Linked DNA regions of Astyanax mexicanus. The protein of the gene in region 2 purifies or fractionates together with the protein of the main gene of each other region. This does not show direct contact. Links are inferred from orthologs where the notes say so. Each region holds a gene or a part of one and is shown on either strand. Other genes may lie near its edges. The genes, in order: B-cadherin, ctnna1 and tes.

Region 1 (11,052 bases), on a different chromosome or scaffold from region 2:
TAAAGCTATGTATACTACAGGTCAACTACAGGAAATATATAAAGATATTTAAAAATATATTAATAGTAAAGGATAAAAAATATATATACATCTAGTGCATAAAGATTTGATTATGGTGGGGTGTCCAGTATTATTGCACAAAGAGGAACAGTGAATAAATATCAAATAAATAGTAGATTAAAAGGTGAGAAAATATTGCACATTAAACATATTGCACAAATGGTGATAAGGGGATCACAGTACTAGTGTATTAGTATGTAGTTGAGTAAAAAAGGCCGTTTTTACACCTGTAGTTAGTGTCGATGATCCAGATTAGCTGATCAAATTTGTTTATTTGGACATAAACACATTAAAATGTGCACTAATAAGCCACGTGAGCACATTGTCTCCTCTGATTGGCCAGAGCCACTGATGCCTGAGCAAGAAAGTAAATTCTTTGTTCCAGCGTATATATATCTGTGCAGCATAAAGCTGCTTTAACGTTTTCAGAAGGCTAAAAATATGGTTTAGGTTCAGCAACAGTATGTGCTGAAAGAATGAGGTCAGCTGACTACCTGAATATACTGAATATAGACCAGGTTATTCCATCAATGGAATAATTTGTTCTTCCCTGATGAACACGGTCATATTCCAAGATAAGACAAAGCCAGGATTCATGGGGCTGGAATAGTGAAAGAGTTCAGGGTTCAGGGAGCATGAGATCATCATTTTCACACATGGATTGAGAGAGAGTTCACCACAGAGTCCAGACCTTAACCTCATTGAGAATCTTTGGGATGTGCTGGATGGAGAAGAGCTGCTTTGTGCAGTGGTCAGACTCTACCATCATCAATGCTGCTGCAAGATCTTGGTGAAAAATTAGTCCAGCAACACTGGAATGGAATAAATCTTGTGACATTGCAGAAGCTTATTGAAACGATGCCACAGTAAATGCACGTCCAAATCAAAGCTAAAGGTGGTCCAATTAAATATTAGAGTGTATGACCTTTTTTTATGGTGGTAACCTTTTTTGGTTAGGCAGTGTATTTTGTTGTTAGAATTATTATGAAAATAATAAATATTTTCAACAAAAACATAACACAGGGGAAATCCAAAGTAATGGTTTTCTTGGTAGTTGGAAAACCTGACATTAACATAATTCACATAATCCAATAAAATATTAAACATGAGTCATTATTTAGTTAAATGAATAAAATATAATGATATACTGAGATGAAGAAGTTTAGATAATAAATCTACTGTCTAATCCAATATCTCTGCTACCTTTTCAAAACATATGAATAAACATACCAGGTCCTGTGCTACACATATGGCTGGAAGATCTAGTAAATGTAATATTCTCTTAACTACTGCCTTAGAAAACAGTGCAGCAGCGGTGCTTTAATACAGAGCCAGCATTGTCCAGGTATTTGTTTATTCTGCTCGTGGTATGAGGAAATGGACACTGTGCATAAATGGGCGCTGAAACACACTGCTGCATTATTAATACCCTAATAACCAACCAGCGCACAGGATGCAGTCTGATGAGTAAGAGCTTTTAGAAGCTAAAGAACAACAGGCTGTGCTGGGAAAGACTGTGCAGTCATCTTCACCACAGTGTTCCAGATCAGAGCTGTGTTCAAACATCTGAGATCCCCCAATAACTTCTTTAACATCACAATTTAATATAAAAATCACATTTAAAATCACATTTATTTATTGAGTTAAGAAAAGATTAATACACTTCATGGTAATTCATGAGGAATATCTAACAATATTAAACAATATTATAATTTATTTTTGTTAAATATCATAAAAAAACAGCTTGCGCAGCTAAAGTGGTTCCTATTGGATCCTAAAATGTTGCTAAGTGGTTGCTACAGTATTTTAATGCATTGTAATGGTTGTTAATGTGTTTCTACGCCATTCCTAAGGGGTTGATTGATTGGCTGTTGCTAGTTGGTTGTTATAAAAAAAAGTGGTTGGTTGCTAAGGTGTTGCTAGGAGGATGCCATGGTGTAGCAAGTATATACTGAGTTGTTTTAAATGATTAGGAGTAAATATGGAGGAACAAGGGATGACGGTCAGTGTGGCTGTGGATTAGAGTATGGTGGCCTGCCCTGATAGAGTACATTGAATTAATGGCTCGTTGACAAATGAATGATAATTAATGGCTGGAACAGGGTTAAGAAATTTCCGTTTGTGTTGTTATCAGTGTCAGAAGCTAGTGCCCATTTCTAAATACACCAATACATCAGTTGAACACTTATAAGTGTGTACACTCCATCAGGATTAAACTTTAAAAAAAACTCCATCAGAAAAGCTCTGCTCAGCAAATCAATCAAACCAGAGTGAAACTAGTGACCCACCATTCAGTCCAACATTCACTCCAGTTCAGTTTAAAATTAAATAAAAGTTAAAACAGTGATTAAAAACACTTAACTCAACATCAGCATAAATCCAATTAGCATTGACTTAAAAATATTTTAAGATTGTTATCAGTAAGGACGTAAAATGTTGTAAATTGTACTTTGGCATTTAGACTCAAATTTACAAATGTATTCGACGACAAACACTTACAAAGAAACACCAAGTAGTGCATAATATAATTTTATGTGAAATTCTCAAGTAACTAGACTGCACTAAATTATTTGTGTAGATACAGGGGTTGGACAATGAAACTGAAACACCTTTCATTTTAGTGTGGGAGGTTTCATGGCTAAATTGGAGCAGCCTGGTGGCCGATCTTCATTAATTACACATTGCACCAGTAAGAGCAGAGTGTGAAGGTTCAATTAGCAGGGTAAGAGCACAGTTCTGCTCAAAATATTGCAATGCACACAACATTATGGGTGACATACCAGAGTTGTTGGTGCACGTCATGCTGGAGCATCTGTGACCAAGACAGCAAGTCTTTGTGATGTATCAAGAGCCACTGTATCCAGGGTAATGTCAGCATACCACCAAGAAGGACCAACCACATCCAACAGGATTAACTGTGGACGCTGTAAGAGGAAGCTGTCTGAAAGGGATGTTGTATCCAAAAAAACATAAAACCATGGCTGCCCAAATCACGGCAGAATTCAATGTGCACCTCAACTCTCCTGTTTCCACCAGAACTGTCCGTCGGGACAATAAATGATTGTGGTCTAAAACCAGGTGTTTCAGTTTCATTGTCCAACCCTTGTTGTACTTAAATAGACTTATTTATATTTACAAAGTCAAAAAAGCTTAAAATCAATTGTTAGTAACACATGCAAAGGTCAAAGCAATGGCTTTAAACATCCCTGTTTCTGATTTACAGACAAGATAATAGACATTCACTAAATAACAAATACAGAATAAGTTACATTTGTTATGCAATAAACAGGATTAACACACAGCCGGATTGCTGAGTGGCAGCACAAAAATCAATCGCTGGAATCTGGGAAAGGATAAAGCCTCTCACAGCTCCACTCTCCGGCCGTCCCACGGGAACAGACTGTGGGTTCTCTCGCTGAGGGAGGAGAGCACAGGCATGAATAGTGTCTTTCAGTTATAGCAAATATCAACCAACTGCTGAGATCCTGTGAGCAGCCTTGTGTACAGCAGCCTGTAACACGTTCAGTTATCAGCAAAGATAGAGTAGACCAGCGATTCTCAACTGAACTGGTGGGTCGGGAGCCAAAAGTGGGTCGCGGACTTGTTCTGAGTAGGTCGCAGACAGCTTGAAAAAAAAAAAAAACATAAAAAATATATAATAATTATTATAATGATAATGCTTTTTTGTACTTGTCTTTTATATTGGGGGAAAAAGAGAGGCAGGGAGTTACTAATGAAATATCTTATTGTGTATCCTCTTTTATTTTGCACAGTTTTGATTTTTAATTTTATTATTGTAACTTTTATACATTTATACATATTATACTGTTCTCATACAGAGTTCCCCAACGATGGAACAAACTACCTTCCACTACCAGATCAGGAGAATCTCTCGCTATCTTTAATAAACTCCTGAAGACAGAGCTCTTCAAAGAGCACTTACTCTCCTAACACCTCTAACACACTAACTACTTCTAACCTCATTTCCTTTTTCCCCTCCTTCACTTCTCTATCCCTTTATTTCCCTTCGACCTCCTTTAAGCCCTGTCTAAAAAATGTTTTACCTTTAACTTCTATTTTGTTCTTGACTATTGTAAGTCGCTTTGGACAAAAGCGTCTGCCAAATGTAATGTAATGTAATGCAAACATTTAGTTGTCATGTTCCTCCTCAGTTTCTTAAAGAAATACTAGTAAATTCACTTTGCATATGTATGTTAAAATGGATTTTTAAGGCCATTTTTAAAAAATAAGTTTGCTTGCGTTCTATTCCATAAAAGTGGGCCGCGACTGGTCCTGGGCTAAGACCAGTTGAGAACCCCTGGACTAGACTATTTCAGCTTCCTCCAGTCAGCTTCATCCCATGTGGAGGCCTACACATCTTTAAATTCTCCTTTTTAAATACTGTAAATGATGCACCTGGTTCTGCAATTTAAAAAAAAATGTCTAGTGGAAGTGATGCAGGGAGACAGACACCGATTCTCCTTATGAACATTTTCATCAGCTGGTAAGAAACCCACAATCGCAGTGTCATGATCAAATGTCTACAATGAGCCGTTTCAAAGAACGTATAGTGATTTCTAGCTTGTAGTGTGAAAAAAAGTATCTATTTGAATATCTCACAAAAAAAGTAAAATGAACTGAACTTTGAACTAGTTCAGAATTAAAATTGTGAACTTTCAACGTGAACTGTTCACTTTGAGCATGCATGAAGTGAACTTGAACTAGTTTAGAAAAGCTGTGAACTGGCACAACACTGTCCCTCCTGACAAAATGTAAAGTTTTGAAGCTGATAAAATGTAGTTAAAATGATATAAGAGAAATGTAATCCCCAATCACATCTATCTTCTGTCTCTAGACTGACTGCTCCTCACACAGTTACTGCTTTAAAGTACCAGAGTTTCATTTCATGCTGGAGATTCATGTGAATATGATTGTGTTTAAGCAGGTAGATGTAGAATTTAAGGTGGAATAACTATAACAAACGTCATAGTTATTCCAGCGGAACTAAGTTATAGTTCCTCTGACAAACACTAATTATGTAACAGCTGCAGTTCTTAAACTGGCATAGAAGGAAAATAAGAAAATGCAGTTCTTTATTCTGCCACCTTAAAGAGTGCAGCAGTTTAGCCCAAGCACCTGTAACTGCTTCACTGTTTAAGGTGGAATGAAAACATTAAATAAGGCAGTGTTAATGTGATGTGGAAGTATTTAACTTATTATTTAAAATGAACTGCTTCACTTTTTAAGGTGGAATTGAGTAATAAGCATCAGATGTCAGATTGTATTGGTGTATCTCGGCGAGTTTAAGCGAATACTAGACAAAATAAACGCAACCAAATCACAAGAATGATGTTAAATCAGTCTGTCAGAGATTTTCCTGGAGGAGCTGTGATCATTGAGGGCTTCACCTGAGACTGGAGGAGCCCTGAGAGCAAAGTTAGGCTAGACAGGACTTGAATTTCACCTGACACTGAGCAGACTGATCACTCCTTGACTTGGTACAATGAGCACTAGATACTATGTGGTGAGCAGCAGATACTATGTGGTGAGCACCAGATACTATGTGAGGGGCACCAGATACTATGTAAGGGGCACCAGATGTTACTGTATGTGGCAGTAAACAGTTGTTTTTACATGTTAGTCTCTGGGGCTTACCTCATTTTATGTGGGGCTCACCACATAGTACATGGTACATATCTGAGAGCTTCTGGTGTCCAACATTTAGTATCTAGTGCTTACCATAGTATCTGGTGCTCACCCACCACATAGTATCTTGTCCTCACTACATAGCATCTGGTGTTTACCACATAGTATCTGGTGCTCACTACAAAGTAACTGGTGGTTACCTGGTGCTTACTACACTGGTGGTTATCTGGTGCTTACTACATAGTATCTCGTCCTTACTATAAAGCATCTGGTGTTTACCACATAGTATCAGGTGCTCACCCACCACTTAGTATATTGTCCTGACTATATAGCTGGTGTTTACCACATAGTATCAGGTGTTTACAATATAGTATCAGGTGCTCACCGTGCAGTATCTTGTCTTCATCATATAGCATTTGGTGTGTACCACATAATATTTGGTGCTCACCACATCGTATCTGGTACTCACCACTTAGTGTAGTATCTTGTCCTCATATCGCAACTGGTGTATACCACATAGCATCTAGTGCTCACCACTTAGTATCTCATCTTCACTATACCGCATCTGGTGTTTACCACATAGTATCTTGTGCTCACTACTTAGTATCTTGTCTTCACTATGTAGCCTCTGGTGTTTTCCGCAAAGTATCTAGTGCTCACCACTGACTATCTTGTCCTCACTATACCGCATATGGTGATTTCCACATAGTATCTTGTGCTCACCACTTAGTATCTTGTCCTCTTTACATAGTATCTGGTGTTATTTGCTTGCATTTAAACAGCAGGTAGGCCATATTAGTTTAAAAAGTAATATAATATAATTTAATATAATAATTATTTCTACATTAATTTCCTCTCATATGAACAGTACGTTAAGTAAGCAGTGCTCAGGGCTTTAGCTGCTCTTTTTATTTAAGAGAAACCCTGCTGTTCATTATATTCATGCAATATCAGAGGGATTTGTGCTGCATCCACTGCTAAGAACACAAACAGTCAGTGGTGGTTCTGGACGCTTGGCCTGGGAATGGAGGAGGAGCCTGAGGAGCAAAGTCAGAATAGACAGAGTGTTTCAGTTCAGTTCTTCATTCAGTCTGATCCTCTGATTGAGACAAACTTTCTGCTGCTGGATTTTGTAGCTCATCTATAGATCGACTCATGAGGATGAGGATGGTATTCTCAAGGAGAAGATAGGATGATCCAGCACAGACAAAACTGAACTGAGGTGGGCATTTTGAGATATATTCTGTTAGTGGGATACAGAATATACTTTTTTTGAGTATATTGTGGATATCTTCAGTGTAAATTAACAAATTAATTAGCTTTCAATCACAGAGAGAGTAATTAGTAATGTTTAGGATAAGTTATAGAACATTTTGATTATATTTTTTGAGTATCATTTTAAATATAAAAAAAAAAATATTGTAAATATTGTGATTCATCTCATGATACAGGTATTTTTACCATATCGCCCAGCTCTTGTCTGGACCTCCACTAGGACTAAACTAAAGATAAACAAACAAACTTGCCATCATTCTGCTGTGTGTCAAATTATTATGATTATTTTTTTTAATGCATGTGAGATGTCTTATTTGAACACTCAAATAAGCTCTAATAAAACTGATAAAAAGTGAGGGAAAAAATAGAACTTTTTGTAACGTTGTAAACTACAGCTTGATTTGGATCTGCTGCTGGAGCTGCCATATTTAAAGTGGAAGGGAAAATGCTAATGCTTGCAACTTACTGTAGAATTAACTAATCAATTATTAAATTAGTTTCCAACTGATTTAATTGATTAGTTGTTGCAGTAGAGTAGTTGTAGCTCTACTCTAGTGTGTTTGCCAGGTCTAAATCCTACTCCATTATTATGTTTGTCCCACTACAAAACTGCAGAGAAATAAATACATAAAAAATGTATTGTGATTTTATTTATGATTAAATAACAGAATAATGTTCTAATGTTCTAATTTTATTTAAATATGCACTATTAAAAGCTTAATCTTTAAAAGATAAACCTTGTGATTAATTACAAAATGCTGGGATTAATCTGATTTTTGTTTTATTAATTGACCACTAATAAATAGGTAAACTTCACTTACCTCACTTCCAGACATGTATTTCAGACTTAAGTAAAAGTACAAGTGCTCAATCAAGAAGTTGAAGGGTTTTTTAAGCTCCAACCTTAAGCATAAAAGTAATAAAGTATTTTACATTTTTGTACTTAAGTATCAAGTAAGTAAATGTAGTACTGAAGTACTAAAAAAGTACAATATTTTGTTATGTAGTTGTTACAGAAGCAGTGAAAAGAAAGATTATGTGGGCTCAGAATGATTTCTAACATTTTTATAATTGTAACAAATAACAATTCAGCACATAAAAAAATATCAGAGTAAAAGTATTAAACTCATCCAAAATATGTAGTAAAGTAAAAAGAAACACTCCAGTAGATACATATACAGTAGTTTAGTACTTAAGTACAGTAGTGTAGTAAACATAATACTCCAATATGAGTACATATACAGTATTTTAGTACTTAGTAGTTAAGTAAAAACAATACTCTAGTAGATACAGATACAACATTTTAGTACTTATGTACAGTAGTGATGTCAAAATAATACTCTAGTAGATACAGATACAGCATGTTAGTACTTAAGTACAGTAGTAAAGTAAAAATAATACTCCAGTAGATACAGATACAGTATTTTAGTACTTTAGTACAGTAGTGAAATACAAATAATACTCAAGTAGATACTGATACAGCATTTTAGTACTTAAGTACAGTAGTGAAGTAAAAATAATACTCCAGTAGATACAGATACAGTATTTTAGTACTTTAGTACAGTAGTGAAATACAAATAATACTCAAGTAGATACAGATACAGCATTTTAGTACTTAAGTACAGTAGTGAAGTAAAAATAATACTCCAGTAGATACAGATACAGTATTTTAGTACTTTAGTACAGTAGTGAAATACAAATAATACTCAAGTAGATACTGATACAGCATTTTAGTACTTAAGTACAGTAGTGAAGTAAAAACAATACTCCAGTAGATACTACGTTTTAGTACTAAAGTACAGTAGTAAAGCAAAAAGTAATACTCTAGTAGAAACAGATATAGCATTTAAGTACTTAAGTACAGTAGTTAAGTAAAAAACAATAGAAAAAGTAAAAGTAACACTCCATGAGATACAGATGCAGTATTTTAATACTTAAGTACAGTAGTGAAGTAAAAATAATCCTCCAATAGATACAGATACTATATTTTAGTACTTAAGTACATTACTTAAGTAAAAACAATACTCCAGTAGATAGCAAAAGTAGGAGTAGAAGTAAAAGTAACACTCCATGAGATACAAATGCAGTATTTTAATACTTAAGTACAGTCCTTAAGTAAAAACAATACTCCAGTAGATAGCAAAAGTAGGAGTAGAAGTAAAAGTAATACTTCATGAGATAAAGATGCAGTATTTTAATAATTAAGTACAGTACTGAAGTAAAAGTAATACTCCAGTAGATACAGATACAGTATTTTAGTACTTAAGTACAGTCCTTAAGTAAAAACAATACTCCATTAGATAGTAAAAGTAGGAGTAGAAGTAAAAGTAACATTCTATGAGATACAGATGCAGTATTTTAATACTTAAGTACAGTAGTGAAGTAAAACTTATACTCCTGTAGACACAAATACAGTATTTTAGTACTTAAGAACAGTAGTAAAGTATTTATATACAGTAGTAATATACATTTCGTCTCGTTTCTGCAGGTTAGATCAGTCTTCAGCAGGTGGTGGAGCAGAAGGAGCTGGGAGATACTCGGAGAAGGTCTTACCTGGAGTTTTGGGGGAGGAGCCTAGAGAACCTGTGCCCATACTTGGTCAGCGCGAGGCGGATGGGCGAGGTCACCTGGTTGCGTCACGTGCAGAAACTGTGCTAGTTACCTGCTGCCTCGCAGTTCCTCCATTTAGCCTGGGGAAGAGTTCCAGCTCTGAGGAGAGCAGAGAGAGGGGATTTCCGAGGATTATTCGGTTTATTTTCTGTTACATGGAGACTTTAAGGAGTGTACGGCTGGGGGTTCTTCTCGTTCTACTGCAGGTAAGTTCTGCTTTAATTGGGGAAGATTTTAAACAGCTGTTTTTCTTACAAATATGGTCAAACATGTAGCTTAGCTAACTAAGAGTTAGTAGTTTGGCTTTAAATGAATTTAAACCAAGTAAAACATCAGCTACACACGGTTTTATTGCTATTTCTTTGGGTTTATTGGACTAAAATCCGTTTATTTCAGTAAATAAAACAGTTAAAAGAAGCTGAATGTGTTTTTTCTCGTCCTTTTTATTACAGGTGCTCTCCACCAGCTTTGCTGATCAGACGCCATGTTCAAACGGATTTGATTCAGCGGTGTTCATTTTCAAAGTGCACAGACCTCACCTTCACAGAGGCAGGAGGCTGGGCAGAGGTAAGACACTGGTTTTATAACCTTACTTTTTAAGAAATGTGATGTTAAAAATTGGAAAATGACTCTTGCGATGAGTATTTATACTTGTTAATGTGAATTTTTGTCTGTAAACTGGTTTAAACTTTGGTAAAGACCACTAACATGAATACTTTTGCACTTTAAAGTTTAGTCTTCTGACTATATGGAAAATATGCTGGTAAAATTAAGACTGCGTTATATGGCCCTAAAATAGTATCACGATATTTCAGGGTACTTTTGCGATATTAACGAGGTTCTGACAAACGTTTTTTAATGATTGTTAAGAGAATACTACTGCAACACAACAAACTAAAATCTATAAATGTTTATCTGTTTTGTAAAATAACTAAGACCATGATATTATAAAATAATGTTTATAAATAAAAATGTTTATAATATAACAAAAATAAAGTAATGTAACATCAATAATCTAGAACAGAACTGAATAAAGTGTAGCGTGTTTTTATTGCATATAAACTGCAAACAAACAATTGAAAGTAAACACAGAAAATGTATACCTAGATAAATACAAAATATATAAGTATAAGGTAATATTTGGCATTTAGTCATTTTTGTCATTCTGTGAGCTCTGGATTTGTGTGTTTTTATTTTTATATGAGTAAAAACTCCTTTCACACCTAAATATATCAGTGTACAGTGTAGTGTTTGTTTTTTTAAGCTTATTTTAACTTTGGTAACCTAGCTATATGATAAAGTTCTAGCTCAGAAGTTGTGTTTTTGCTGAAGTAGTTTGAAAATTCCCTCAGTGTTTAAGATTTAGTCATATTTCCTTTCTGTGTATTTTATATAAAGTCTGTAAACTATGATTTGTTCTGGATTTTGTTGATATTAACTTTGAAAAAGTAGACTAAATGG
Region 2 (11,041 bases):
TAAGCCAAAAAAAATACCCTAATGCGACAGTAAAACAACTTGTCTCAATTTCTAGAACCTAAATATAATGATTACTATGCAAAAACATGTACAAATCCTGTGTATATACTAATTTTAAATGATGCCTTGAAAGTGCCTATATTATGATCAATTGCATTTTACAGTTGCAGGTCAACACAAAACATTAATTCTTCAAAAAGGTAATGTAACAATCAGGGAGTGAATCAGATGCTCGTAGATAAAAAAAAAAAAAAACAACCAATAGGGTTTCTTAGAAAAAGGTCAGCTCAAAAGAGAAATGCAGAAAACAGTCCAGGTCAGTAAGATCCAAGGCAAAACATTACACAAGGGAAGATCCAAAGGAGTAAATGAGATTCAGGCAGAGGTTAACACCAAGAACTACAAAAAAATCAGCAAAATAAAGACAGTAAACCGAAGACGAAAAAGGGTTATAACAAAAAAAGGCATAAGAAAAGGATAAACACTCACAAGAACAATACCGAGCAAAGAGTGTTAGATGGTCTGGGAAAACACTGCACTGACTTTGGACTTGAAGTGTGAAGTTTCCACCAATCAGTGATGGTTTGGAGAGACATGTCATCTGCTGGTGTTGATCCACTGTGTTTTATTATCAAGTCTAAAGTCAGTGCAGTTTTGTTTTCCCACAAAATCTTACAGCACTTCATGCTGCTTCCCTCTGCTACTGACAACTTTTATGGAGATGCAGATTTCATTTTCCAGCAGGACTTGGCACACTGCCCCCACTGCCAAAAGTACCAATTGTTCTTATATAATATTCTCATTTTCTGAAACACTGACTTTTGGTTTTTCATTGGCTGTAAGCTTCATAATCATAAACAATAAAATAAATAAACGCTTAAAACAGATCACTTTGTGTTTAATACATCTATATAATACAGTATATGAGTTTCACATTTTAAACTGATTTACTGAAATAAAGTAACATTTGGATGACATCCTATTTTTTGGAGATGCACTAGTGCTGTATGTTGGCTTCAAGAGCATTTTTCAACAAAGATCACTGCATTTACCATACTGTCCCAACTTTTTTCCTGATTTAAGTTTGTACACTGCGTGAGAGTGAGCTGTACAGTGGTAGGAGCTCAGCTCAGATATTTGGCCGAGCTCCTGACTGAGACGTTTTCATGACAGTGGAGGAGGTTGAGGCTTGCAGGGCTTGGAGAACATTGTAACATTTGAACCGAAGTACAGAAGTACATTATATTTTATACATTAGCCCTCTGGATGAGTGTGTGAGTGTGTGTGTGTGAGAGAGAGAGAATATAAAAGAACATGCCAAGAGCTTGGGCTGTCCACATTCTGTAGTCTGGAACTGAAGGAAAGAGGGATTCATGCTGGAGGAGGAGGAGGTAGATGTGATAGATAGGTTGGCGTGAAATCTAACCTTAATAAGAGTGCCATTCTAGGCCAAGTCTAACGCAGCACTGCGAGCGTCTGAATGGCTGCCCAGCAGCGGGGGAGTGTGTCTGCTCTGCTGAGCGCTATGTAAATGAACACGACACTCAAGACATATTTAAATAACAGTAATGATCTGGCTGGGTTAAGACTAGCCGTTAAAACAGCTTAAGCTTTAACCTAACAGAAATAAAACAGCTTGAAATGGAAGGAAAAAACATGACTTTTTGCATTAGTTATGTGTTGGGAATTATAATGATGATGATAAACATTTGCATTATCTTGTATCCATGTGTACTAAAAGGGTAAACTCATATAGGGGTATATTTTTATTCTTTTGATATAATTATCACATGTATAAGAATATAGACTACACAGAAATGTATGTATGTTCCATCATAATTACTCTTTATTTTCACTTATTATTTAAACCCGTCATGCATGTGTCCACCCTTCTATGGCAAACTGTCTGAGAGAATAAACGATTTTAGTAAAAACGGGCATTTAATGAAAACATGTTTGACCTAAATTTGCAGAAATGTTGAATTGTTCATGGTGACTGTTCTTGTTCTGTTTCAAAATTACATTTTGACTTTCTTTCTTTATTTTAATTACTGTGATATTTTCATATTTTTATTATTTGACAGGGTGAACAGCTTCAGCTTTACCTCTTTAAGCTAGATATGAAGACAATATGCATTATATCATTTTTAAAAAAATGGAAAAGCACTTCATGCTTCCCTCGGCTGACAACTTTTATGGAGATGTGGATTTTCCAGCAGGACTTGGCACACTGCCCACACTGACAAAAGTACCAATTGATCTTATATAATATTCTAATTTTCTGAGACACTGATTTTTGAGTTTTTATTGGCTGTAAGCCAAAATAATCAACAATAAAAGAAACTAGATTGCAGTTCCTACAGAAACTGCGAGTGTGATTGCAGTGCTGGCCGGGGTACCCAAACTTTTGACCCGTGGCTCCATTACACACAGTACTGGAGTTCTAGCTGCCGTCCTTCGATCTAGCTGCCATCCTCCGATGGCCCCATTCATTCCTATGGGGCCACTTCGTACGACAATCGTACGAAATTCGTATGTCGTAACGTTTCGTGACGCATATTTTCGGAAAGAGCTCAATAAGTTCTACAGGTCCTCAATTGGTTTCATCTTCGTATCTCAAAAATTGTGACGTACACGGCCGTGCAAAGTTCTGCCCATTCATTTTCAATGGGCAAAAAAGCGCACACTTCGATCGGAAAGCTGTATACAAGCCCACCATTCCCGATAAGGACGCACGTTTTGTCTTTTGAACGAAGTCGATATCTCGAAAACTGCGGCACTAGTTAACCGGACAAAAAACAGGTGGAATAATAATAATAAGAAGAAGAATAAGACTTAAGAAGAACAATACTGTGATTGCATACTGCAATCACACTAATAAATGCTTAAAATAGATCAATCTGTGTGTAATACATCTATATAATGAGTTTACTGAATTACTGAAATAAAGTAACTTTTCAATGATATTCTAATTTTTTGAGATGCACTAGTAGTACATGTATAATATCAAGGATTAGCATCAGCCAAGAATTCCTACATCGAGCGTCCCTAAATAAAATCGTAAAAGAGAAGAAAAATTACCACAAAATTTCAACAAGATATTTCCACATCATGACCAGATATCTCTGACTTTGTATTTAAAATAACCAGATTGTGTCTCAAAGTAATGAAACAACATCTCAAAATATTCAGAAATAATTTCTAAATATTGAGAACATTAAGAAGATCTCAAAAATAATGGAAAATCTTGTCTAAATGACTTATGACTCTTGACTCTTTATTTTTATCTTTATCTTTATTTATATATGTCATTTACTGGAGAATGGCCCAATGACTAGCATTCATCTCAAACAAATTACTTAGTTTCTAAAAGTAACGAGATAGCAATTCCCCCTATGGAGCCCCTAACGTGACATTATGTAAAAAAAAAATGTGGGAACGAGATCCTAAGGCGTGGAAGAAAATAATTTGGCATGGGAACAAGATAATTAAGGCATGGGAACGAGATTATTAAAGCGTGGCCACGACTTATTAAGGCGTGGGAACAAGTTAATTTAATCTAGCCGAGAATAATAAAGCTGGCTTTTCTGTAAATTAATGCCCATGAAAAAATATCACTCCTGCTAAAGGCACTCAGTCCTGTTACTGGAACTACCTCCTTTTAGTGGCACTCATTTTAGTGTTAGTTTTTATGTTATGAGTAACAGGAAAGAAAGTAACAGGAATGAGTTTCAAATCAAATGTACATAAAAACTAATGAGTTGAACTTAATTTTTGTCTTCCCATGATCTTCAGAAGAACCAGCTGATGTCACTTCCTGTTCTAGATGTGACTTGTAGAATGTTCCAGATTGTCCAGATGGGGTAATGTGTTACGGTAACAGAACCGAGTGAAAACCAGGGACACAACTAAAGTGTGTTTTTTGACGTAAAGGTCTCTTTCCGCTGAAATATATCTTTTCTTGTTCTTTGTGAAATACTGTAGGTCTCTATGAATTGTATATGATGCTGCACATGAAACTGATTCTTAGGCTCCCTTGTCTGCAGTAGTTTGTGAAAGAAAATCCTCAGAAGTACAAGTTGATCAGAGAGATGTAAAATGTCAATCAGTGATATATTTGCATATAAATAGCAAGAACCAAATCATGACTTTCTTTAGAGACCAGTAATTCAGTGATCTAAAGCAGGGCTAAATAAAAACACCGGAGCACTTAAAAAAAAAAAAAAAAACACAAAGCATTCATTTATACTAGAGACCACAAGGATATGTTTTAAAATGATTTAAAAAAACGGTAGAATGGGACCTTTAAATATTATGAATTAATTATGAAAAACATATTTTTAAAGCATAGATGGGATTTAAAGTCACACAACAATGCAAAAAAAAATATATATATATTTCATGGTAAAGTTTATAGTCAGACAGTGGGGGCAAATAACAAATGCTATTTTTTCAGTGTTCTAAGTAGTTTTTATTAATGTTTTTAATTGCATATCTTACTTTTGCAATTGGGTAATGTACAAGATACTATGCTTAATAATAAACTGTATTTTAAAGTTATTTTGTGTGCACATTTAAACATGTACTTTACTGGAGACAGAAAAAGACAGAAATGGCACCCATTTGGTGGAATGGCCCAATGACTAAAGGTATCTCAAGCAAATTACTTAGTATCTAAAATCAACGAAATAGCAATTCCCCCCTATGGAGCCCCTAACGTGACATTATGTAAAAAAAAAATGTGTGGGAACGAGATCCTAAGGCGTGGGAATAAAATAATTTGGCATGGGAACGAGATAATTAAAGCATGGGAACGAGATTATTAAGGCGTGGCCACGACTTATTAAGGCGTGGGAACAAGTTAATTTAATCTAGCCAAGAAAAATAAAGCTGGCTTTTCTGTAAATTAATGCTCATGAAAAAACTGAATATTATATCAAAGCTCCTTTAATCCAAAGATAATCTTTAGTAAGAAAATAGAGAGTAAACTGGTTTATTTTTATTTTAATCTCTTAATGATTTATGATGATTTATGATAGCACACATCTATTTTTTTTACATAATGTCACCTTAGGGCAGGGGTGTCCAAACTACGGCCCGTGGGCCATTTGCGGCCCGTTTCCTTTTTTGGAGCGGCCCGCAAGGTATTTTAGAAATAGAATGAACGTTGGCCCGCTGTTAAGCAGGTTTTTATAATGTGAGAAAAAAAAGCAGTTGTAGCGCAGAAAAAATGGGCCAAATAGTCTAAAGGTTGCCGTAATTAAGGGAGTTTAATATTAAGAGACATCATGAAATTAAACATCAATTTGAAAAATCTTAGTTTACACAACACTGTCAAAGATAAAGATAGTAAGTCAAGTTAAATGGTGTGTAAATGAAAGTAATCAGGAAAATGTATTATTTAAAGTGGTATATTTCATTATTTGTTTTATTACAGAGTCTGTGGCCTGTGACTTCAAATATATTTCTCCTTCTAGCCCCCAACAAAAAAAGTTTGGACACCCCTGCCTTAGGGGCTTCGTACAATTCACTTAATAACGTAAAATAAATAGAATCTAGATGTATTTTGTATTTTCAGCAGTTAAATAGAGGTATTTAAGCTAAATGTGCAGTTTTGTAGTTACTAGTGCTGGAGTGTGCAGTCTGTGCTGGTCTGTATCCGGTATAAATCAGCAGATCTAAGAGCTGAGGGGGATTAATGTGTTGTTCTGTAATCTGAACCTGTGTGTAATGTGTGTGAGAGAAGATTAACAGGTAAATAAAGCGGTAAAGGTGAAGCTCGAGCCTGCAGCCACACCCAGCCCTCACCTGAGAACAGCCCCCTCCCCCTCTTCCGCCTGCTGCGTCACTGCCGCCATTCCAGGAACAGCTCCTCCCCCCCTCCGCTCCCACCCAGAACAGCCCTGAAAGGGAGAAAAGCGAGGCGTTCAGAAAGTGTGTATAGCGCGGATCTGCTGAGGAAACCAGCTGAGGATCATTTCAGCCTTTTTACCCGCGGTCTGAGTGCGTGTGCAGGGCTTTTCACCCACCGGAGAAAGCTTTAATACCGGGATCAGCGGCGGGAGGAAAACTTTCACCGGAATTTTAACCGCTCTTCCTCCATTTTGAGGTTTCGCCCAACTTAACTTTGTGTTTATCGTGTTTCGGTGAGTTTAATTTACTGTTTTACAGCCTAATCCTCGCTTTAACTGGCTTTAATTTGATTGTGAAGCTCGTATTATATGAAGTTTGTGTGAAAAAGCTGGAAAAAGGGAGCTGAAAGTTGATAGTTTGTGAAAATTCGCGCTCCGGTTTTCCAACTTGTGGGATAACTTAACTCAGCTAACATTCAGGAGAGAGTTATGGACTCCTCCCTAAAGCCTGGGGTTAAGTGCAGGTTTTCCGCCTTTTTAGACAAATTACCGACTTTTAAAAGCTTAAAAATCCTCTATATTTATTCCTGGATGTTAAAACAGGTGTTTTTAAACCATAAAATCCATTAAAACCAATAAATATAACATTTTAATTTCAAAATAAGTAACGTTACCTATTTACAGGCAAAATCCTTAACTTTAGCTGGCTAGCTGCTTGTTTGTTTGGGTTTTCCTAGTTTTATTTAAATTAAGTTTTAAAAGCGTCATTAACCATATATATTGTTATCCCTGGATGTTAAAACAGGTGTTTTTAAACGATTGAATCCATTAACAATATTAAATGTAACTTTAAATCCTAAAAAAAAATACTTTAGCTCGCTAGCTGCTTGTGTTTGGTTAAGTTAGATTCTTTTATTTTAGTTAAATCTACACATTTTAATAAGCTTTTGAACCTATATTTATTTATTTCTGGATGTTAAAACAGTTGTTTTTAAACAATATGTGATTTTTAAAATCTCAAAAGTTCTAAAATATGGGAGAAATCCATAACGTTAGCTGGTTAGCTCCCTGTGTTTGGTTAGTTTTTCCTCATTTGAACTAACTTAAACTTTAAAAGCTTCCAAAACCATCTAAATATCTATCCCTGGTTTTTAAAACATTTAAATCCATTAAAACCGTTAAATATCACATTTAATTTCAAAATAAGTACCTAAATACATGCAAAATCCTTAACTTTAGCAGGCTAGCTGCTTGTGTTTGGTTAGAGTCTTTCATTTTAGTTACATTTACACTTTTTAATAAGCTTTTAAACTCATATTTATTTATATCTGGATGTTAACAGTTGTTTTTAAACCATTAAATCCATCAAAACCATTAAATATAACATTTAATTTCAAAATAAGTACCTAAATACAGGCAAAATCCTTAACTTTAGCTGGCTAGCTGCTTGTGTTTGGTTGGGTTTTCCTTTTAAATTAAGTTTTAAAAGCGTCATTAACCATATATATTTATCCCTGGATGTTAAAACTGTTGTTTTAAACCATTAAATCCATTAAAAACATTAAATGTAACTTTAAATCCTAAAAAAAATATTATTTACCAAAATATGGGAGAAATCCCTGACTTTAGCTGGCTAGCTGCTTGTGTTTGGTTATATTCTTTCATTTTAGTTAAATAGACACATTTAAATAAGCTTTTAAACCCATATTTATTTATTTCTTGATGTGAAAGCAGATGTTTTCAAACAATATGTGACATTAAATCTCAAAAGTTCTAAAATATGGGAGAAATCAATAACTTTAGCTGGTTAGCTCCCTGTGTTTGGTTAGTTTTTCCTCATTTTATTTAAGCTAAACTTCAAAAGCTTCCGAAACCATCTAACTATCTATCCCTGGATTTTAAAACAGTTGTTTTAAACCAATGAAAACAATAAATATGACCTTCAGTTTCAAAATAAGTCTTAAATATAGGCAAATAAAAACTTTAGCTGGCTAGCTGTCTGTGTTTTGTTCAGGTTTTCGTCATCTTAGTTAAATTACTACGTTTTAAAAGCTTAATAAACCATAAATATTCATTCCTGGACGTTGAAACAGTAGTTTTTAAGCAATACCAAAATATAAGAGAGATCCTTAACTATAGCTGCCTAGCTCCCTGTGTTTGGTTAGCACTCTATAGCATTCCCACACTTCCTTAACTAATTCCACTTGGTTAAGCTAGGCTAATAAGCTAGCTAGCTGGGTAACAACTTGGATAACTAATTAGTTAGTTAAGCTATCTTTTTAAAGGTTTTTTTTTCTGGTCTTTATAGTACATTTATATTTCAGAAACTTAAAGAAACATGTTCATTTGAATCTATAATGCCCTTCCTGTGTCTCTTAGCCAGTCACAACCATGAGTAATAGGCTACGGTTTAATTACTCAAAATACATTTTGTCCAAATGATAATTAAATAACTTCTTACAAATACATTAATTGTCAAATTAAACACACAAAATATCACTACTATAAGGTTTGAGGTAAAGAAACTAGCTAGCTTAGGCTGTGTTGTCCCCACTGACCCCTCTGACCACAACCAGTGGGATTTTTGGGACTCCTCCCTAAAGCTTGGGGCTAATTTTAGATTTTTTGCCCTTTTGCCTAAATTTACAACTTTTTAAAAGCTTCCAAAACCCTGTATATTTATCCCTAGATGTTAAAACTCTTGTTCTTAAACAATTCAATCTATTAAAACCATCAAATATAACATTTAATATCAAACCTGCCTGTGTGTGTTCAGGTTTTTCTTATTTGATTTAAATAACCAAGTTTTAAAAGCTTCCCGACTTAGAAATATCATTGGATGTTAAAACATTTGTTTTTAAACAATGTGGCATTTACATTTTCGAAAAGTACCAAAATGTGGCATTCCCAAACTCCCTTAACTAATGCTACTTGGTTAAGCTAAGCTAAGCTAATTAGCTAGGTAGCTGGATGGCAACTTGGATAGCTTAATTAAAGAACTAGCAAGTTATCCAAGTTTTTTATGACTTTAAAGTATATTAATATATCAGATAAACCTAAAGAAACATATACATTTGAGTCTATAATGCCCTTCACGTTTCTCTTAACCAATCACATCCATGAGTAATGGTTACTACTCAGAATGTAATTTGTAAATCCAGTTGACAATTACATAATTTCTAACGAATACAGTACTTAAAAATATGACTTTATTAAAGGTTTATTGTTAAGGATTAGCTAGGTTATATGTTGTCCCTGCTGACCCCCCTGACTACAACTGGTGGGATATTTAGGACTCCTCCCTAAAGCCTGGGGCTAAGTTCCGATTTATTTTGCCTTTTTACTTAAATTAATGACTTAACATCCACGGATAAATACAGAGTTCTGGAAGCTTTTAAATCAGTTGTTCTTAAACCTTTGAACCAGCATTGAACCATCTATTAAAATGATTAATTATTAAAATTCAAAATTATTACCTAAATAAAGGCAAAATCCTTAACTTTAGCTGGCTAGCTCCCTGTGTTTGGTTAGATTTTCCTCACTGTTGGTAAATTAACAAGTTTAAAAGCTTCCAAATCGACTAATATTTATTCCTGAATATAAAATACCAAAATGAGGGAGAATAGATATAAAAGTTAGATAACTAGTAAGTTAGGCTATTTGAGTTTTTGTCTTTAAAGTATATTTATGTATATCAGGTAAACTTGGAGAAACATGTCCCATGCCTCTTAGCCAGTTACAACCATTAGTAATAGGCTACTACTCAATTTCTGTTCAGTTTAATTCATCCAGTTGACAATTACATAATTTCTAACGAATACAGTCATTACAAATATCACTTTATTTAAAGGTTTAATGTCCTCCCTACAGCCTCGGGCTTAGTCTAGATTTTCCACTTTTTGTTGCTTAAATTAACGACTTTAAAGCCCCCCAAACCCATCTATAGTTATGCCTGGATGTTTGTTTTATTAAAGCATTAAATACATTTAATTCATTATATGTGAGTATTTCCTAAACAAGTACCAAAATATAGGAGAAATCCTTAACTTTAGCTCACTAGCTGTTTGGTTAGATTTTCCTTGTTTTGTTTAAATTAACAAGTTTTAAAAGCTTCCAAACCCATAAATATTTATTCCTGGACATTAAACTGGTTGTTTTTAAACATCTTTGACGTTAAATCCCCAAAAAGTACCTACATATAGGAGAAACCTTAACTTAGATTTAAAATTAAAAAAACTAATTTTTAAAGTTTCCAAACCATTGAATATTTATTCCTTGATGTTAAAACACTTGTTTTCAAAAATGTCACATTAAATCCAAAAAACAAAAAGTATTAACATTTGGGATAACTCTTTAACTTTAGCTGGCTAACTGCCTGTGTTTTTGATTTGATTGTATTTTATATTAGTTAATTTTACACCTTTTTTTTAATAAGCTTCTTAACCCATATTCATGTATTTCTAGATGTTGTTTTTAAACAGTGTGTGCCATTTAAATCCTAAAGTACCAAACAATATGTGAAATCCTTAACTTCAGCTTGCTAGCTGCCTGTGTCTGTTTAGCAGCGCTTGTTATTCCTAAAATCAGTGGTGTTATCTATCTGGATGTTCAGCTTTTGTTTAGCTCAGGAAATTTGGTTGTGTTTTATGGTATATTTAAATTGTTATGAAAAAGGTTATAAATATAGTTTAAATTGCCATCTGAGTGTGAGGGACGGGGAAACCAAGCCCTTCCTGTGTCTCTTAATCACGACCATGAGTAATCATAGGTTACTGATGGTCACTGGCCTGGTCAAATTCTCCCTCCTGGTCTAACTCTCCCTATTCTGTGCATTTTAGCCTATAGGTACCTTGCTATTTTTGAGTAGTTTGAGTCACAAAAGCTCTGTATTTAAAAAGTATGCTTAGTAGGACAAAGCCTGACCTCCCTGCTCTAGAATGAGGTCAAGAGGAAGTGTGAATGTTTAAAGTCCATATTAAATTAAGATGCTGCTGTTTTACTGATTCAGTAAAACTGAATATACTGAGTCCTTATACAGTTATGCCTTGTTTTTTGCTGTTAAACAGCTTTTCATTATTTGCCTCATGTAATTCAGATTGATTCACACTTTTGAGTATATGTGTTATTTTGAATAAAGATCAGGTTGTAGGCTATAACTGCCATTTTGGTGCTAAATTGGTTTGTTAGGT
Region 3 (11,138 bases), on a different chromosome or scaffold from region 2:
ATCACAATAAATACAATTTTAATTATAACAAGAGAAATAATGGTTTAACATGGCATTCTTCCTTGGCTGTCCAGCTGGTCCCTCAGGCAGAAGTGCTGTTTGTAGCAAATCAAAACCCCCATTTTAACGCTGAGGAAAAGCCGACTGTCCATCATTGTAGAGAGGGACCTTGCGTGTTCGTGCTATATTGTGAAGAACAATGCAGGCGCAGGTGATGTTGCATGTTTGCTTTGGCTGAACACGTCGGTAGTTCAAGCAAGCAAAGAGTCTTTTCAGGACCCCAATTAATCGTTCATTTGTCCCTCTAGCTGTTGCATGGGCCTGGTTAAAGTTCAATAGGTGGCATTAACCATGGTTAGAGTGGGTAACCACTGTCACCAATATGATGTCATCTGAGGGCTTTTGCTGGAAGTTCTTGAAAAAATTGCTCTCCTTAAAGATTCTTGCAGCATGCACTGACCCTGGTCATCTCACAACACAGTTTGTATTGATTAGGTCAGCATGTTCTACAAGTTAAACAATAATGCTAAATTTTGAATTGTCCTCCTTAAAAACTAAATAAAAGAAGCTGGCCTTGTTATTTCTTGTTATTAAAGGCCTTCAACTGACCTTTTGGCATGTTATTGTAAAATATACTCCCAGTAAGTAAACATTAATAAGTTTACTATTAGATATTGTTAAACTGACTCTCTGTTAAACCCAAACAAACAGAATTATGCACAATTGTTTCTTTTTTTGCCAATGTATTTGAATAAAGGTAATCAAACTGTTTCGTTATATGGTAAAAAGTTGTTTTAAATGCTGTTAAAACATGTTTACCATGTCTAAGTGTTTTTAAATCACATTTACAGAACACAGGTTTATTTTCAAGTAATTTATGTGCAAAGTGTGTCCTCAAGTGTGTCCACTCTTAAGGTGGGATGAAAATTATCCTGTTATTTGGAATCAAAAGTATCCAAGATTTCTACTTTTTTTTTTTTTTAAATACGAACTTGAAGCATTTAATCCTGCATGAAGGTTTGATTAAATTATGAATAACCCATTATCTGTTAAAAAAAAAAAATTCTAGTGTAATCCAACAAGATTGATTTAATTCTGGCTTGGGGACAGAAATGGCACAGATTCAGTGAAATGGCCCTTATATTTGTATTTGAGTCAAAGAACCAATTAATATTTTGTTCTTTAAATATATTAACGAATCCAAGTAAACTAATTTATATTACAGTTATAGTGTTATGTTGCCTATCCATTCTATTTGTCTGTAAATAGCGCTTGCTATAATTTTACACATAGTGATTTATTTTTTTAATTTACATTTATTGCATCTAGTCCTCCTTGTTTTTCCACTTAAACATCAAGTCTCTTTTGGCTGTTTCTCTCCGTGAGCCCCATATGAATAAGCAACATTCTTTATTTTTTGAAACCATGTTTAATACTAAAACATAGAACTAAAACATAGAATGCAGCACTTAAAAGACCACTTTTACACCTCTCAGAATCTCAAAGATCTCTGTGAGTTGACCATTTATTTTAACTCTTACCATGGATTTTACATAAAACACCATATTTATAAACTCACAAGAAAAAACATACATTTTAAAAACACTTATTATATATTTACGTATATAGATACTAGATACTAATATATATAGATACTGATACTAATATCTGATATAGAAATTAGTATCAGATTTATTAAATATCAACTCTATTTGCATATATTTGATAATCAATATTATTATAAATTATAATTAAAGTTAATGGTCTATAATTATTAAGATGTGGTTGGTTCTTACACATCCTGAGAACACAGATTAGCCAGAGTCAGACATGGAGCCTTTACCTTCATTATCACCTTCACATCCATTGAACTCCTCATCTGCACCACCTTATTCCCCGTCTCCTCTTCTGGCTTCTTTGACCCTAATTTTTAATTACAGCTTTCATGCATCTGGGCATGCTCTCCAAAATCTTTCACACTTCAGCAAGGCTGGAATTGGGCAGTTTGGTCTTTGCAAATGACGCATGAATAAAGCCACATACAAGGTAATCCTGGAAGAAAACTTGCTTCCTTCTGCTCTGGCAATATTCCCCAACTCTGAGGACAGTGCAGGACAATTATCCATGCCACACAGCTAGATCAATTAATGTGTGGATGAAGGACCACCAGATCAAGACAGTGTCTCCGACCCTGAACCCCATTGAAAATCTATAGAATGTAATCAAGAAGAAGATGAAACAAAGCTGAACTGCTTAAATTTTTGCATCAGGATTTGCATAAGGTCAGTCGCAGCGGCCATTCTGGGAGCAAAACACAGTGTTTTTTCTTTTGTATTGTTGTTAAAACCCTATCTGAACTCGCAATGGTGGTGCCGTCCATCCTTCTCTCCAACGTCTGCTCCCTGAAGAATAAACTGGACTACCTCCGGATCCAGCGGACAACTCAGCGCGAGTTCAGAGACTGCCGTGTGTTCAGTGATTAACGGACTCAATCCCAGACACCGCCATTCAGCCAGACGGCATGCTCTTTTTCCGTGCGGACAGCAACGCGGACATGTCCAGTAAGGCCCGCGGGGTGGGGGGGTGATGGGGGGGTTTGTGTGTTTCAACACAGCATGGTGTAACAACGCTGCACTGGTCTCCAGCTACTGCTTGCCGCTGGTGGAGTTTCGCTATAGTCAGAGCCAGATCATTTTACCTGCCCAGAGAGCTAAGCAACGTGTACATAATAGCAGTGTATGTAGCAACATACTTGTTGAGAGATGCTACTTCTGAAGACTCCATCAACCTGGAGGACTACACAGATTCAGTGACTGGCTATATCAGCAAGTGCATTGATGATTATACTGTCTCCAAAACAATCACAACACACCCCAACCAGAAGCTGTGGATGACTGCTGAGGTGCGTGTGCTGCTGAGAACCCGGGACAAGGCCTTCAGGTCAGGGGACAATGCTGGCCTCAGAACTGCTAGAGCCAAGCTCTCCCGGAGGGTCAGAGAGGCAAAGCGCATCTACGCAAAGAAAATCCACACCCCCTTCCAGGACAGTGCTGACTCTCGGCACATGTGGCAGGGCATCCAGGCCATCACCAGCTACAAAACACCCCCACCTGCTAGTAACAGTGATGCCTCTTTTTCAGATGCGCTGAACACCTTCTACGCAAGGTTTGAAGCTCAGAACTACACAACGGCAAGGAAGACCACACCTCCACCAAACGACCAGGTACTGTGCCTGTCCTCAGCTGATGTGCGGAGAACTCTACTGAGAATCAATCCTCGGAAAGCCCCAGGACCAGACAGCTTACCTTGCAGAGTGCTCAGAGGATGTGCAGACCAGTTCACGGATGTTCTTACAGACATTTTCAACATTTCTCTGAGCACTGCGGTCATGCTGACCTGCTTTAAGACGACCACCATCGTTCCTGTGCCAAAGAAGTCTCAAGTGTCCTAAATGAAGTGCTTTGCGAGGCTGTTCATGAGGCACATAAAAAATCAGCCCCCTCTCCTCACAGAAGGTTTGCGTATCATCCAAATCGATCAACAGATGATGTCATCTCAACTGCACTCCACCTGGCTCTCACCCACCTGGACAACAAAGACTGCTATGTTTGAATGCTGTTCATCGAGTTAAGTTCATCATTCAACACCATCATCCCTCAGCATCTAATTGCAAAACTGAGCTTGCTGGGCCTGAACTACAACACCTCCAGCACCACCATACTGAGCACCGGTGCTCCCAGAGCTGCTCAGTCCACTGCTGTTCACCCTGCTGACTCATGACTGTACTGCAAAGTACAGCTTAAACCATGTCATCAAGTTTGCTGATGATGACACAACTGTAGTTGCCTCATCAGCAAGAACTACGAGTCAGCATACAGAGAGGAGGTGCAGTGGCTGACAGACTGGTGCAGAACCAATAATCTATCTCTAAATGTGGATAAACATGTCGACTTCAGGAGAGCACCAGGTGTCCACCACCCGCTGAACATCAACGTATCTGCTGTGTAAATTGTAAAGAACACCAAGTTCCTGTGTTTTCACATTGCAGAAAACCTCACCTGGTCCCCTAAAACCAGCACCATAAAAAAGAAAGCCCAGCAGTGCCTCTACTCCCTGCGGAGACTGAGGAAAGCACATCTCCCACCTCCCATCCTCACCATGTTCTACAGAGGGACTGCAGAGAGCATCCTGAGCACCTGCATTACTGTCTGGTTTGGGAACTGTAACACTGGAACGCAAGACCCTACAGCGGATAGTTAGGACAGCTGAGAAGATCATCGGAGTCTCTCATAATTTCACTACACTGTGTACCTGTACTCAGATGTAATGACAATAAAAGGCTTTTGACTTGACTTGACTTGAGACACATGAAACTGATTTAAAATTCTTGGTTATTTTACCAATTATTGATTCTGAACTCTTCCTTACACTCACACTACACAGCTACACAACCACACACACACACCCTTACTTCACAGCTACACACACTTACATATACACTCACACTACACAGCTACACACACACAGTCCATAGATACACACACAATTACACTACACAGCTACACACACAATACACCGCTACACACACACACACACACTCACATACATTCACATTGCACAGCTACACACACTCCATAGAAACACACTTACTCACACTACATAGCTACACACACCTACTCACACACACAGGAAACAAACATCTAACTACACAAACACAATCCACAGAATTAAATTAAAAGCAAACAGCTAAAAGTTTGGCAAAACCTCTGCTCCACTCTACTACTCACATTCGTGGGGAGAGGGAGGGAGAGAGAGAAAATGTGTGTGTGTGTGTGTGTGTGTGTGTGTGTGTGTGTGTGTGTGTGTGTGTGTGTGTGTGTAAAATGGAGCTCTGCATGCTCACACTCTCCACACCCTGTTAAGTAAAGCCACAACTTCCTCTGTGATAGTGCTGAAATGAGTAATGAAGTGGCTCAGGCTGTGTTTAGTGTTGGCTGTGTGTATTGTGTGTACAGTGTGTACAGTCTGTAGTGTTCAGTGTGTGTAGTGTTTAGTGTGTGGCGTGTTCACTGTGTGTAGTGTAGTTTTGCAGTGTGTATGTTTTCAGTGCGTATTGTAGTGTTTGCAATCTGTAGTATTCGGTGTGTGTAGTGTTTGCATTGTGTATTGTTTGCTGTGTTTAGTTTTTGTTCTTTGTGACATTCTTCATATTATTAATGTAAATATAATAACATTAATAATCTAATATTCTCTCATATAAATAATACACAGTAGTCAGTGCTTATAATATAGTTTTGTTCCTAATAGTAACCTAGCTGTTCTCCATAGTTCTTATTCTAGTTCATATCCATGCAGTTTAATGTTACAATATCAGAGGAAGTTCTACTAATGTTTCTTTTATAAGAGCGTGAGATCTGCAGGTGGAGACTGTCCGACTTCACTCATCTCTCACCCCACCCATCTCACCCCACTAACTGCGCCCCCTGGTCGAGGCGCTGCTGTTTCTCCAACACGCCTATTCCATCCCCTCCGTGTGTTACACTCTCAGTGCGGAAGGATCCGTGCTCGGCTCTGATTGGTCCTCTGAATCCGGTGGTTTCAGACTATTGGTTGAGAGCTGCAGGCTGGAGGACAGAGGAAGAGTGAACAATGAACTGAGAGTGAGGAGGAGGAGGAGCTTATTCACCCCGGACTTTACCTGCAGCTCAGTCCCACTGTCTCACAGTTACCTTCACTGAGCCCACCTCCCTATAGCAGCTCAATAGAAGAACCCGCAATGGAAATCGAAAAGGAGGTGAAAAAGGTGAGTCCTGCTCGGTTTGGGGAGTGTCCTGTATAGTCCGGTAGACTCCTGCTCGGTTCGGTGAGTGTCCGGTAGAGTCCTGCTCGGTTTGGGGAGTGTCCTGTATAGTCCGGTAGACTCCTGCTCGGTTTGGGGAGTGTCCGGTAGAGTCCTGCTCGGTTTGGTGAGTGTCCTGTATAGTCCGGTAGACTCCTGCTCGGTTTAGGGAGTGTCCGGTAGAGTCCTGCTCGGTTTGGGGAGTGTCCTGTAGAGTCCTGCTCGGTTCGGTGAGTGTCCAGTAGAGTCCTTCTCGGTTCGGGGAGGGTCTGGTACTGTCTTTCTCGGTTTGGGGAGTGTCCTGTGTAGTCCGACAGAGTCCTGTGTAGTCCGGTAGAGTCCTGCTCTGATCAGGGAGTGTCCGGTAAAGGTGACAGGGGTCCCAGAAACGCCCAGGACGGTAGAGAAGGAAGTTCTCCATGATGGCGAGAGGCTGAGGTTAGAGCTGAATCACGACTGAAGCCAGAGAGAAACCTGCCAACACAACTCGCTTAACTCTCTTCTGTAGAGGAGCACATTTATTTAGAATGAGCCTTTAAATCTATTATTATTATTGGTAGTTTTCATTGTCAGAATCATGGAAGGGCTTTATTTTGTTATTTCGTTTATTTCAGCTGTTCATTGTTTACGACAAGCGCTGATGGTTAGGCAAAACACACAAAATAGGATTTAATAACATTTTTGTTAGCAGGCTAGGCCCAAACCTGTAGACAACTAGGATACCAACGTATCCTTTTGCGTTCATTAAGTGTCCAGACACCTCATCTAATAGTAATTGACAGTTGGTAAAATTGCTATAGAAAAGCATTGGCAGCACAATGGGATACTTCCTGGAACAGCTGTACACCAGCCTAAGGTCACCATTACCCATGACTAGAAGGATATAATGTTTACTCTGGGGTGATGGAGCTCTATCCCATACTTTTTGGATGAGCTGGATGAGTTTCAGCACTAAATTACCAAATGAAAGTGCTCCTGTGACTGAATACAGTCAGATCTTTACAGAAGTGTTTCAAAATCTTAACATCTATAAAATGTACATGTTCCTCTGCAGCCACATAAAAAGACCTTAAATAGAACGTCTATGAGAATAGTCTGCAGTAAGACTATGACAGAACAAAAGTGCAGTGTATGGTTTAACTAAAATCAATAACTGGTATCTTTTGTCTCCTCGGATGTTAGTCGTCCATCATGGCCCTCGTCATTTCAACTGTGGGTCAGATGTCAGAAAGGTGCAGAGTCCTCACTGAAGGCCTTTCATTCATTCCCCAGTGTTTGAATCGGCCCTTTTTTAACTATGACTTCATGTTCACAATTCCTGCATATTATTTTCATGCAGTGAATCTGCTGTTCTACAACATGCCAAAGGCCTTAGATCTGGTGACTCAAGAGGTCAGTAAAACCACTGAACAAACGATCATGTTCATGAGACCTGTGTTAAAATGTTTTTTGATTTGTGACATTGTGTCATGCTGAAGTAGCCTTTAGTAACTGGACTGTTGCCACAAAGCATGTTTTGTCCACAGAAATCCTGAAGTATATACTGAAAAGTGATCAGAAGAAAAAAACTCAAACCAATTCTGACACCAACAATCCCATTTTGTCTGCATACATGATGGGTGATGTGAAGATCTGAAGCTGGTTGATGTGAAGACCTGAAGCTGGTGGCTAGAATCTGCATGGTTTTATGCATTGCAATGCTACTACGTCACTAATTAGATAATTGAATGAATGTGTAATTGAGCTATTCCTAGCAAAGTGCTTAATGAGGGTAAAATAATAACAAAGTAATTTATCTTAGTTTCAGAGCAAGAATGTTTAAAATGTAGAAAGGACTGGTCCTGATTTGTTTTGATCAGAATGCTAAAGTGGAGTAAATATAAGCCTGCTGTACCTTGCATGCTGTTCCTAGTGTGCTGATGTTACTTCCATTTGAACGGGGAGAAAGGAAAGGCTCAAGTGTTTAAAGATGTGAAGAGAATCATACACAAACATTTACTTTAAGGCGAGTGAATAATGTTTTTAGTGTTGACATACTGCCATCTAACGCACAGTAGCACAGAGAAGAAACAGCTGTGAAGGTCAGACTAAACCTCTTAAAATGCAGACATAGAGATACAGTATTTTATTTTAAGCATTTATTTAGTATGAACGGGAGTGCTAGCAGTTATTTTATACTACTACTACTTCTACTCATAATACTATTATTATAAGTAATAATAATAATAATAATAATAATAATAATGTTTTATTAATATGGTGCCTAATATGGCTACAAACCCAAGAATGCTTTCCCTTTTTTTACATATCTGATCGAGCATTTTGTAGTGATCGGGGCACAACACAGTACCAGGTGACACCTCTCTATGCCACATGTTCCTGCATAGCAAGGTCTGGTTCTCATAAGTGGTAAATTATATGCTGCTGGTAGATAATGGGATTAGTGTAAATATTAGTTGCAATGTTAGTAGAACCTATAAACTTTAGTTAGGACGTTGTGGTAAAAGTCCAGGCAGAGATACTAGGCCTCTTGAGAGGTGGGGTAACTCCGTTATTTTACCGCAACAGAGGACTAAAGCTTTCAGAACAGGAGAAGACTATTTAGTGCCCCCAGGCTTTTCCTCACACCCTCAAATACTTATCCTTATATAGCCATCCCAGCTGTAGCTGTTTGGTGTGCACAGGAAGAATGATGATGTGGGAAAATTTTGGCAGTGCTCTTCAGTGTACTGACAGCAGTGAAAAGTGAAAATGACTGAACTATCTTACAGACTGTTCATAAAGTATGTAAATAAACAGCTGTTTTGTCTAAGTAACAGTGACCTAGATACACAGACAGTGTGTTTATAAAAAATGGTAAAAATTGGAAATATCCTCTCAGACAGTATCACACTTTCACAATCAAAACTGGTCTCAGCGAAAAGCTGCTCTTAAGGGATTTAAGGCTAGAAAAGAAGCCTTTAAGCAGGATTTGTGCATAATGCTGAGATGTTCCTGTGCTGTATTGGCAGATTACCCTGGGCCATGAGGTAGGAGCTGGCGCCGCCTGTCTTAAATGCAAGGACAAATGTGAGGGATTTGAGCTGCACTTCTGGAGGTATGTATAGAGTTTATTCATTAATGCACGCCTAGCATTGTGTTTTTCATCATCATTGGTTTTGCCATTGAGTTTCATTGTGCGACTGATATCATCAATGTCACATCAAAATGTATGTCTTTACCAAAGCTGCCCTGTGGTTTACACTAGCTAAACTTAATATTCTTTTAAAATTAAATAAATACGATTGCAGTCCATAATAGCTTGGGATAATTCATTTTATTGTTTCTTAGTAATAGTCCTGGTGCCCCCATTCTCTGCACATTTAGTGCGTTCCTATGTTGTTCTGTTGAGACCCTTGCAGAATTTGCTCTCTTGTTTACTCCCATTGTTATTTTATTTTTTTCTTCTACAGCTTACATTTCCCTTTTTATTTTGTCAAAATCCAGAAAGGAAAACCCAGTGACTCAGTGGGAGTGTTCTTGCCATGAATTCCACTCGGCTAGTTTTCTTAAAGAACACTCTACAGGTGCCAGAGTGCAAACTGTGCCCCTTTTCTTTTACCACAGTAGCCCCACACTCAGCCCTAGACATGGGGACACAGTGGGAGTATTGTTGAAAACCTTCAGTCTGGGAAGGAGATGACCATTGTGTTCTGAATGATGTCTGGTGAACTGGTTGGGGCTAGACCATTCAAAGACTGAAATCATTTATCTTTGAGGATTTAAGCTGTAAACTTGTGCTCCAAACAAAGCAGCTTCCAAAGAGTCACCGGAAACAATTCACTTTTGCTTTTTTTCTTTCTAAGGCAGCAGGGTGACTTTGCATTTCCTCTTGACGTTGTTGGGTTTTGCTTTGTTAGCCATTGTTAGCGTTCTCTGCTTTCCTGACAGATTGAAAGTGGTTATTTTAGACAAGGTCTTTTAACCTTTTAGCATTGCATATTTAAGTAGCCCCACATTCAGATCTAAGACCAATGATTCTTGTTTAAGAGCAACCCAACTCTGGCAACTTAAATATGGCCATGTTCTGAAGTTGTCTGTGCTAACCTAAAATGATATGATCTCAACATGTCCCTGCATTATATTTAGTTTTGTTTCCACAATTCCCTTAAATGTTAGATATATTTTAAACAATCCTTGGATTATTCCACATAAACACACCACATGGCCTTTAAGAAATTCCCTCAAAATTTTTAAAATAATTGTCAAAAACTATTACCCCCAGTTAAGCGAATTAGTCATCCACATGCCATTGGTCCCCACATGGCTGCCACATATATATATATAAGTATTTTCAATAAATGATTTTCATGAAACTTAACCTGCAAATCACTGGTTCTTTAAAATCTGGATAAAACAGATTTGAAAATAAAACGGTAGTTAAATTACAAAATCTGGTTTATGATTATAGACTAAAGTCTTGGCTGTTTTTTATTGATTGCTTTTAATATGTATTTAGATTTGATTTGACATTCTTAGTACACATAATGTTAAATATTAACGTTTGTTCATTTTTATACTGTTTGACATGTATGCTTTAAATGATCTAACATCATACAACGTTTACTTTAAGCCTAAATAAAAGAATTTGTATTAAAACGGACCATTACTTTAATAACTCTACAGCATTGAATAAACATATTATACATATTATAAGCATATTCCTTTAAAACAAATGAAACTCCCTCTGACTGTGGAGACTTTAAATCTGACAGTGTTGAAAGTCACCTCATTATAGCATACAGTTCCAAAATTCACACCACTCAAATTGCTAAAAAATAACAGTTCTGAGCACTGTTATAAACATTTTTCAAATAATATAATATAATACTTATCTATATTTATCTATATCTATAGTATCTATATTTTACTGAAGGAATTCAGTTTTTTGATTACTTTTTACTTCTACTCCTTATATTTTCACACAATTATCTGAACTTTCTACTCCTTACATTTTAAAATTAGCCTTGTTACTCCTATTTCATTTTATCTTGTTTTCATTCTGGCTGTAAAGAACTATTCAGATAAATCTCTCCATCCAAATAGAGTGAATTTGATTGTGGTTGGATGAGAAGTACAAACATACACCATTCCGATACCCTATTGGTTTACATACAATCCATCAAACCTGCACACGTCACATTACACTCCAGTCGGGTGTATGCACAGAAATATGAAGAAGTTTAAATGAAAATATTAAACATACAGGAGCGTTAGTGATCCTGAAACTTACAGTAGAGATAATGGTGTGAAAATGGGG

Evidence for each region.
Region 1: the proteins of ctnna1 (region 2) and B-cadherin purify together in Homo sapiens (affinity purification with western blotting; 10 studies listed by BioGRID and IntAct, with this or other methods). This does not show direct contact. The link is inferred for Astyanax mexicanus from reciprocal best matches to the Homo sapiens genes CTNNA1 and CDH1.
Region 3: the proteins of ctnna1 (region 2) and tes purify together in Homo sapiens (affinity purification with mass spectrometry; 3 studies listed by BioGRID and IntAct, with this or other methods). This does not show direct contact. The link is inferred for Astyanax mexicanus from reciprocal best matches to the Homo sapiens genes CTNNA1 and TES.

The regions. Positions count from the first base shown.
Region 1 is NC_064430.1:28,566,454-28,577,505, forward strand, and holds the start of B-cadherin, read left to right. Parts: upstream 1-6,809; 5' UTR 6,810-6,928; intron 6,929-9,469; 5' UTR 9,470-9,746; coding exon 9,747-9,797; intron 9,798-10,043; coding exon 10,044-10,158; intron 10,159-11,052.
Region 2 is NC_064409.1:75,355,222-75,366,262, forward strand, and holds the start of ctnna1 (catenin alpha-1), read left to right. Parts: upstream 1-5,870; 5' UTR 5,871-6,146; intron 6,147-11,041. UniProt on the Homo sapiens protein: Associates with the cytoplasmic domain of a variety of cadherins. The association of catenins to cadherins produces a complex which is linked to the actin filament network, and which seems to be of primary importance for cadherins cell-adhesion properties.
Region 3 is NC_064417.1:17,743,613-17,754,750, forward strand, and holds the start of tes (testin), read left to right. Parts: upstream 1-5,643; 5' UTR 5,644-5,776; coding exon 5,777-5,803; intron 5,804-8,850; coding exon 8,851-8,936; intron 8,937-11,138. UniProt on the Homo sapiens protein: Scaffold protein that may play a role in cell adhesion, cell spreading and in the reorganization of the actin cytoskeleton. Plays a role in the regulation of cell proliferation. May act as a tumor suppressor. Inhibits tumor cell growth.